3 linked regions of the Yarrowia lipolytica genome follow. The protein of the gene in region 1 purifies or fractionates together with the protein of each later gene. This does not show direct contact. Links are inferred from orthologs where the notes say so. Each region holds a gene or a part of one and is shown in the gene's direction. Other genes may lie near its edges. The genes, in order: YALI1_F36132g, YALI1_D11614g and YALI1_C01720g.

Region 1 (3,569 bases):
GATACAGCCGCAAGGTTTTCGGCCTCATCAGAGTCGGGCTTAGCATTTGACGAGGGTAGAGACGCCAGAACCTTCTGGACTTGCTCCTCGAAGCCCATGTCCACCATACGGTCGGCCTCATCCATGACCACATAGCAACACTGGTTTAGAACCAACAGTCGCCTGTCAATGACATCAAGCAAACGGCCAGGGGTAGCAACAATTAGTTCTGCTCCTTCTTGTACAGCCAGAGCCTGCTCTTGAGCAGAGTATCCACCAACGACAGAAACCACCTTGAAGCCGAGTGGTGCGCAGAACTTGACTGCTTCGTCTTTGATCTGCATAGCCAGTTCTCGAGTGGGGGCCAAAATAAGACCGTAGGGACCATTAACCTTCGATCTCTCATCTAGCTTGGGTAATTCACAAATGTAGCTGATCAGAGGGATCAGAAAAGAGGCAGTTTTACCACTACCTGTCTCAGCAACGCCAATCACATCCCGAATGCCTAGAGCAATAGGAATAGCAGCTCTCTGGATAGGCGTGGGCTCCTTGTATCCCATTCGAGAGATTGTATCACGTACAATTCCTGGTATTTCCTTGCACTCATTCCACGACCTAAGAGGATTGGGAATATTTCCTCCGCCCTTGGTGACAATGCTGTAATCTTCCTTGAAGATACGCCAGTCACGCGACGTCATGCTTTCCACAGGTTTATCAGACCAGTGTGCGTCCTCCAGGTCACGCTTTTGGCGTTTGGGCACCTGCCCATCTCCGGAATCGATACTGTAGCTGGGCTGATATGCCTTGGAGGTGTCATCTGCAGCACTCCAGTCGAATGAAAACTTTCCAGAGGTTGATTTTGGCTTGGGTTTCGAAGGGAGAGGCTTGGTGGTCTCCACAGTCTCCTGAACAACTGACCTTTTCAGGTCGGTGGTAGATCGAATATCCTTCAACGTAGTCTCTTCAGATGTCGTGTTTTTCTGGATCTGTTTGGCCTTCGCAGCCATCTCGGCCCGCTTAGCCTTGGAGATGAACTTTGGCTTAGAAGCCTCTTTCTTTTGAACCTGCAAAGCCTTGAGCTCTTCTATCGACACTGGCATAGTAGTTCTTGTTGGTACTTGTAGTGAGGTGACCACTTGTATATTATAAATTGGAGTTCATTCAATTAAGTTCATGGTCCATATGCAGCTGGAGATCAAGGTTGTTAAGGTGGGTTGTTACTTGGAGTGGAGGTGCGGAGAGAGGGTGTGCGACAGTGGCGAATATCTGTATCTATAATCCCACATCACGACCAGTACTTCTTATGAAATCATTTAGCTTCATCAACCAACTTGAGGTTCATACATGTATACTCCTATCGCATGCACACATTATGCTATTGTACGCCATAAGTACAGGTTATGAGCTACACCTTTCTGTATAATCTCCATCTAACGACATCAATCCGTCGCTCAATTACCTCAAATGTTGAACCGAACCCCATCTACAGTACGTCTTCTCCCAATAACACGCTGCTCGTTCGGAATCACCTATACGTGACCACTTACAAAAGCACCACCAATTAAGGTTGTCGCCACACATCACCACACTCAATCACATAGGATTCATCACCACACAATCATACTCATTTCAGCACAGACAACCATGACCACAGACCACCCTGTTTTGGCTGAAATCAAGCAATCCTTCGCCTTTCTGGAGAAGGCCGTCGCCTCCTTCGACCAGCGATTCGTCCTGCGAGTCCTACGAGGTCTGCCTGCTCTACGAAAAAAGCTCACTCCAGAATTGCTGGCACAAATCGCCGTCATGACCTACCCTGCTGGCGATGAGCGAAGAAGCGGGTTTGTTGCTCTGGCTGGAGTCAACCCCAACACCGACGAAATGGAGGTTGATGGAGCCTCTGGCGCCACTGAGGCCACCACCCAGCCTCTACCAGAGATCGACATGTACGTTTCACTGCTGTTCCAGGCCTGGCTGCTCCACGAGAACCGAATTGACGACTTGCGGAAACTCAGCGAGCACGTGGTGGCTAGATTGAGAACCTATAACCGACGATCGCTCGACTACCTTGCCTCCAAGATCTGGTTCTACCTGTGTCGAGGTGAGGAGCTCAGTGGCAACCTCGAGGCTGTCCGACCCATCCTGCTGGCATCTCTGCGAACTGCCTCTCTCCGACATGACCCCGAGACTGAGGCCTCGCTGATCACCCTGCTGCTGCGAAACTACCTGCTCTGTGCACATGTGACCCAGGCCTCTAACCTCGTGTCCAAGGTCAACTTCCCCGAAAACGCCGCCAACGCTCTGGCCGCTCGTTACATGTACTATCTGTCCAAAATCAGAGCAATCGAGCTTGACTACACAGCTGCCCACGCCCACATCACTGGAGCCATCCGAAAGGCGCCTCAGACCCCTCTGGCTGCCGGCTTCCTGCAAGCCGCACAAAAACTCAACATTGTGATCGAACTGCTGATGGGCGACATTCCCGAACGAAGCGTGTTCAAGAGCGGACGGGAGCAGAGCCTCAAGGCTTACTTCGAGGTGGTCAAGGCTGTGCGAGTCGGTGATCTCAACCAGTTTGCTGACACAATCAAAAAGTATGCATCCGTGTTCAAGGCCGATGGTACCTACTCCCTGGTTCTGCGTCTGCGACAGAATGTCATCAAGACCGGTATCAGAATCATGTCTCTGGCATATTCACGAATCTCTCTTAAGGATATTTGTATCCGTCTGAGACTCGAGTCGGAGGAGTCTGCAGAGTACATTGTGGCCAAGGCCATTCGAGATGGTGTCATTGAAGCCACCATCGACTCGGAGCGAGGATTCATGCAATCTAAGGAGGTGCTGGACGTGTACTCTACTAACGAGCCTCAGCAGACCTTCCACGACCGAATTGCCTTCTGCATCGGTCTCCACAACGACAGTGTGAAGGCCATGCGGTACCCCATGAACTCCAACCGAATTGATCTGAAGAATGCTGACGAGGCTCGTGAGCGAGAGCGGGAGCTGGTCAAGGAGATTGAGGAGGGCGAGTTGGACGACGATGACGACGAGGATTTTGATCTTTAGATAGGCTAGCATATGATTTTAGAATGTCCACCATTGTAGGTAATGTGTTACGAAATTGTAATTGGGTTAATGGCAGCTGTAGACTACAACGTGGGCGTTTACTTTGTCCCAGACTCCGTTTCTGTGATGCCCTATTATCCTATTTTATTGCAAGTAACCATGTCTCCTTCTCCTTTTAGGCGAGTATAGTATGTGCAGTAGAGATGACAATAACATAGGTTACTACTGTGTACAAGTACGAGGTTATGAGATCGACAAATAGATGTTTTTGGGTTCATTTACACGGGATAATAAGTAATTCTTATTCGTATGACGGAAAACCAGATGATGGTAGCTTTCCTCTTCAAATACCGGTACAGTACAATAGTAATTAGGTACGGGAACTACTTGCAGTACGTTGGGCCAATTCCTAAAAAACTCAAAATTATTGCTGCAGCTGCAAACCACCATCTGAAGATGTAAATATCACCGAACCTTGACTCACGACAATCACCGACACAGGGCAATCATCAAGGGCACATTAA
Region 2 (2,912 bases), on another chromosome or scaffold:
CGAGTTTAGACGACTCGCCAAGATGGTGCGCATACATGGTATCGAGCGCCCGTTGAACCGACGCGTTGGAGGACAGTTTCTTGGCCTGTAGCAGCTGAGAAGCGGCCTCCTTGTGTTTCTCTATCGCCTTACCATAGTCTTTGTTGGCGACGGCCGTTTGCGCCGACTTGGCCAGTGAATACGCCTTGTTGAGCGCGGCTTCCGGTTGTGACATGCAAACTGGCAGGTGGACGGTATTAGTACTGATGGTGTCTCTTTGGTGATCAGCTCACGCCGTCGTCATAATAGTCAAGTGACTTGATAGCTGAATTAGGTTTAGATAGTGATAGTGACTGATTATTAATAAAAAAGAAAAAAGAAGAAAGAAAGAAGAAAAAAAAGAAAGAAAAATAAAAAAAATAAAAAAACCAACACGATTGATCTGTGTACAGAAATGGGATTTGGTGATTAATAAACGAAATGAGAGGATCCTTACTTACATAATCGACACTGTGTTCGTCTTGTACATACCGGTGTAGAACACTTGGACCACTGTATGTCAACCAACGCCATCGCTGACATAAGCAAAAGTGGCAACCGGTGGCGTGCTGTGACATATATACAAATAATGACTAATCAGAGATCACGAGTGACGTGATTAATGGCCAGATCAAGACCTTTTGATAACGTAAGACGTACAGACTCACCAATATCAGTGTTGGAAGACTCAAGAAGAAGTGTGTCTGATTGATTTAACCATATATAATTAATACTAATTATATTAATGGTTGGTTGGATGAGGGCTATAACTTTGGAGCCAAAGGAGTATATCCAAACAACGGCAATTGACGGTATTTCCAAAACAAAAAACACAATATTACGAAATCACGTGATTTTACGTCGAGCTGTGTCTTTGGATTTTCGATAGCGTCTCTAGATCGTCTGCGACAGTCTTCCTTTGGTGTCCAGTGTTGCTCTACCACTTCAGTGGCAATTAAGGTTTCTCGAACAGTGTGTCCACCACATCACCGCAGGGCACCTCTCTCAGCTCACAACCAACACTCCAACTAGACCATCATCACAATCCGTGTTAGCTCTGTGCCCGCACTTTTTATTCTAGACACCACCGCTACGCACACATAAGACTCTGCCCGTGACAATGGAAGACCTAGATTTCGACATTGCGTCCAACTCGACCCAAGACATTCTCAACCGCAAACGGCTTCTGGAGAATGAAATCAAAATCATGAAGTCCGAGTTCCAGCGGCTCAGCCACGAGCGCAACACCATGAACGAGAAGATCAAGGACAACGCGGACAAGATTGAAAACAACAAGGTGCTGCCGTATCTGGTTGGCAACGTGGTGGAGCTGCTGGACATGGAGGGCGAGGTGGCCGAGGAGGGCGCCAATGTTGACGTGGAGGCGTCTCGAGTCGGCAAGTCTGCTGTCATCAAAACGTCCACCCGACAAACGGTGTTTCTGCCGCTCGTGGGACTCGTCGATCCTGAAACTCTCAAGCCCGGCGATCTGATTGGAGTCAACAAGGATTCGTTTCTGATTCTGGACACCCTGCCCGCAGAGTACGACTCGCGAGTCAAGGCCATGGAGGTGGACGAAAAGCCCAAGGAAACCTACGCAGACATTGGAGGTCTTGACAAGCAGGTGGAGGAGCTCGTGGAGGCCGTGGTACTGCCTCTCAAGCAGGCTGAAAAGTTCAAGCAACTCGGCATCAAGCCCCCAAAGGGCGCTCTCATGTACGGCCCTCCCGGAACCGGAAAGACTCTGCTGGCCCGAGCCTGTGCCGCCCAATCTAACGCCACTTTCCTGAAGTTGGCTGCGCCCCAGCTGGTTCAGATGTTCATTGGTGACGGTGCCAAGCTGGTGCGAGACGCCTTTGCTCTGGCCAAGGAGAAGGCCCCCACCATCATTTTCATCGACGAGCTGGATGCCATTGGAACGAAGCGATTCGACTCGGACAAGTCCGGAGACCGAGAGGTGCAGAGAACCATGTTGGAGCTGCTCAACCAGCTGGACGGTTTCGGATCCGACGACCGAGTCAAGGTCCTTGCCGCCACCAACCGAGTCGATGTGCTGGATCCCGCTCTGCTTCGATCCGGACGTCTTGACCGAAAGATTGAGTTCCCTCTGCCTTCCGAATCGGCACGAGCCGACATTCTGCAGATCCACTCGCGAAAGATGACCTGCGACGACTCCATCAACTGGATGGAGCTGGCACGATCTACCGACGAGTTCAACGGAGCACAGCTCAAGGCTGTGACTGTGGAGGCGGGTATGATTGCGCTTCGGTCTGGCAAGAACAAGATCACCCACGAGGACTTTGTTGAGGCCATCACCGAGGTCCAGGCACGAAAGTCCAAGTCCGTGTCTTTCTATGCATAAGTATGTTATATACCTAATCTGATGAAATTGTACGAGTCGTGAGAGGCTGCAAAGACACCTGTATAAATGCTGTACCCGTGGTTTGCGATTTTTCAACGCTTTAACATGATTTCTCACTAAGAAAACATGCTTTATTTATGATGTCATTTCGTAGGGAACAAGCCCCTTCTTATTTCAGAGATCAGTGGAAAATAAAAACAAAAAAAACAGTCCTTGCTCTCAAACAAGAAGCAAAAGACACAAACACAACTGACATCTATATAATAAGCTGTCCGTCTCCATCCTCGCGTCCACCTCACCTTGTCCGGTCCGGTTCTAAACGATTGCGTGGTATGTCGTTATACTTCACTTTAGCTCCGGTTGTCAAAGGGAACATGCATAGACCACGCTCGTCTTGGCCAAACCGTAAGTTTACGCTCCAGTTTGCATCTCCACTTACGATAGTCGACAGGAACACAACTGGGCTGAATACGACGAGACCGAGAGCGCACAAACGCCCACAGACACAGAAACAAAACACACGACCGTTGGG
Region 3 (2,499 bases), on another chromosome or scaffold:
CCGAGTCGAGGTGAGGGGTTGCTGCCTGGCCGTGTATTTTCGACACTAATTACTGTACCGCCATCACTAGCTTGTTCGTCGACACGGCTTTTCCACTCACTTTAATTTAAGCCGTATTTTAAGCCATGTCTTAGATCCAGACGAAAAAACGGTCTACCGGACTTGGTACAGACCTTAAACCAGCCCGTCAAAATACCGGTCGAAATACAGTACATTTACAAAACAATATAGGCTAAAGGCCAATATAAAAAAGCGTGTTGTAGTTGGACACGCGTATTGCACGCCCACGTCCAATTGCTCGATATACCACGTACCAGTGCGTACATTGTGTACAGCGGACTGTGCATACACCAGGCGCTGCCGGAGGTTCGGTTTAATTACGTGCTTGTGCTCGGATGCAGGGGAACCAACGGCAGTCACCGTTCTTAGTTTACCGGCATGCCGAAAAAGGCACGGTTTGCGAGCAGACAAACGGGCTGCTCACGACGGCAGAAAATTAATAATCGGCCATTGTTGCGCACTGCTGGCGACGTCCGCCACGTAATATGACGGCATTGCATTACATGGAGGGGCTGGATAAGAAAAATATTGCAAGGCTGATTGGCGATAGATAGCCGAGCACGGTGTATGTTGGGTTGAGTGGGTGGGAGGAGAGCCTTTGGAGCACACTTGTGAGACAGGACAAGGACAAGTGTAGCGGCGTATGCAATTACCCGTGTATCTGGTAATTAATGATGCATTTAGTGTGGGGGTCGAGGCCATAGCAGGTTGGCGACTGGGCAGGCATGGTAATAATCAACAAACGAGAGCCAATGGGCGCTCGTGAAGCTGTCGAATGTCGTTATTCTCTACTGTTAAAGTAACGGTTGGGACAAATACTTGAACTTAGTGGGCTCAATCAAACCCCCTGGTTGACAGCCTTAATTCAACCCCAAATTTACCACCTTGCTGTTGAACTACGGGCTCTAAAGACCATGCTCAAGGTGGAGGGTCGGCGGTCCAAAAGCCCAATTTTCCTTTCCCCACACGAAGCGATGGATCGCAGCAATATTTTCCACCGTCTTCCCCACTCTGCCCCACAGTAGAGCCTCATGATTTCATTTCCTTTGAACCAGACCAAGAAAGAGGTTAAACCACCTCGATCAGGTCACGTGATCATGCATACGGAAATCTGGGGACGCCTCGAACCTTAAGCAATCGTACCATGATCGAAACCTGCATCACCACCACGAACAAGTCCTTCCTTGTACACACAAGCATTTAACACAACAAAAACACACAATGGAAACCAAAGAATACCCTCTCCAGGTGGCTGCGCGGGACGGCGACTTGGCCACAGTGAAGGAGATTCTGTCACGTGACCCCAAGCAGGTGAACCTGGTGGATTCGGACGGCCGAAGCGCTCTGCTGTGGGCGGTGTCCATGGGCCACAAGAATATTGTGGAGTGGATTCTGGACAACCAAAAGCCTGCTGACATTGACCAGACCGACGCTAGTGGCTGGACCGTTGTTCACATTGCCTCCTCCACCGGAAACATTGACATGCTGCAGCTTGTTCTGCCTCTGGATCCCGATGTCAACGAGAAGGCCAATGGAGGACAGACTCCTTTGCATCTTGCTGTGGGCAAGAACCGAATCGATGCCGTGCGACTGTTGCTAGATCATGGAGCCAAGCCCTCAGTTCGAACAAAGGACGGCCAGGGCCAGATTCCGCTCGTTCGAGCTGCTGCCAACGGCTCCATGGTCATGGTCAAGACTCTGCTTGAGAACGGGTCGCCTCTGTCCACCACCGACATCAACGGCTGGACCGCTCTGCATCACGCCATGGCCGAGGGCCAGGGTGACGTTGCTGTCTATCTCATCCAGCAGGGTGCTTCCGCGGAGGCTGTGGACAGCGACAACAAGACCCCCTTTGATGTTGCTGTCGACACCAAGGTTCTGGAATACGTCAAGTCTCAGCTCGCCTAGATGGTCTTATCATGGGATCGGCGACCGATTGCTATTTGTACAGCACAATTGTACGGTCGAAGAGCGCAATTGGGTAGCGAAACTGTCAAGAGCTCACTTGACAAACATGATAGGATGGCTTTGTCTTGGCATGGATCGGACCCGCTATTACTTCTATTTCATAGTCAACCAAATGCATACACTGTTGGGCGGACATTGGTGAATTGCCATGCTATGCTGTGGGGTTCTGCCTTTGCTCCATCATATCAGCTACCTGTAGCGCAAAGAGCCAGTCTAGCCGTACGTGCTGTAACCTTCGCACTTTCCGAGCCCACGGAGTTTTGTACGAAAGAAGACAAGGATCGTAGGAAGGGTAGAGAGTGGATAAAGCGCGTATAAAAGTAGATAGAGAGTTTCGTTAACGCGGTAAAAGGGATGCACGTAGATGAGGTAGGACCAAGCAGCATACGTGTACAAGTAAGTGCTTTACCGGGAATGTGTGTTTTACCGAGTACAGGTATGCACATTGTGTAGTGCTTGGTAACGGTTGAG

Evidence for each region.
Region 2: the proteins of YALI1_F36132g (region 1) and YALI1_D11614g purify together in Saccharomyces cerevisiae (affinity purification with mass spectrometry; 3 studies listed by BioGRID). This does not show direct contact. The link is inferred for Yarrowia lipolytica from reciprocal best matches to the Saccharomyces cerevisiae genes RPN3 and RPT5.
Region 3: the proteins of YALI1_F36132g (region 1) and YALI1_C01720g purify together in Saccharomyces cerevisiae (affinity purification with mass spectrometry; 5 studies listed by BioGRID, with this or other methods). This does not show direct contact. The link is inferred for Yarrowia lipolytica from reciprocal best matches to the Saccharomyces cerevisiae genes RPN3 and NAS6.

Annotation. Positions count from the first base shown.
Region 1 is NC_090775.1:3,611,628-3,615,196, forward strand, and holds YALI1_F36132g (uncharacterized protein), read left to right. Parts: upstream 1-1,623; coding exon 1,624-3,045; downstream 3,046-3,569. Other genes in the region: YALI1_F36127g (uncharacterized protein), read right to left, coding at 1-1,079. UniProt on the Saccharomyces cerevisiae protein: Acts as a regulatory subunit of the 26S proteasome which is involved in the ATP-dependent degradation of ubiquitinated proteins.
Region 2 is NC_090773.1:1,159,649-1,162,560, reverse strand, and holds YALI1_D11614g (uncharacterized protein), read left to right. Parts: upstream 1-1,138; coding exon 1,139-2,380; downstream 2,381-2,912. Other genes in the region: YALI1_D11623g (uncharacterized protein), read right to left, coding at 1-214. UniProt on the Saccharomyces cerevisiae protein: The 26S proteasome is involved in the ATP-dependent degradation of ubiquitinated proteins. The regulatory (or ATPase) complex confers ATP dependency and substrate specificity to the 26S complex.
Region 3 is NC_090772.1:170,838-173,336, reverse strand, and holds YALI1_C01720g (uncharacterized protein), read left to right. Parts: upstream 1-1,281; coding exon 1,282-1,968; downstream 1,969-2,499. UniProt on the Saccharomyces cerevisiae protein: Acts as a chaperone during the assembly of the 26S proteasome, specifically of the 19S regulatory complex (RC) and appears to have an overlapping role with RPN14.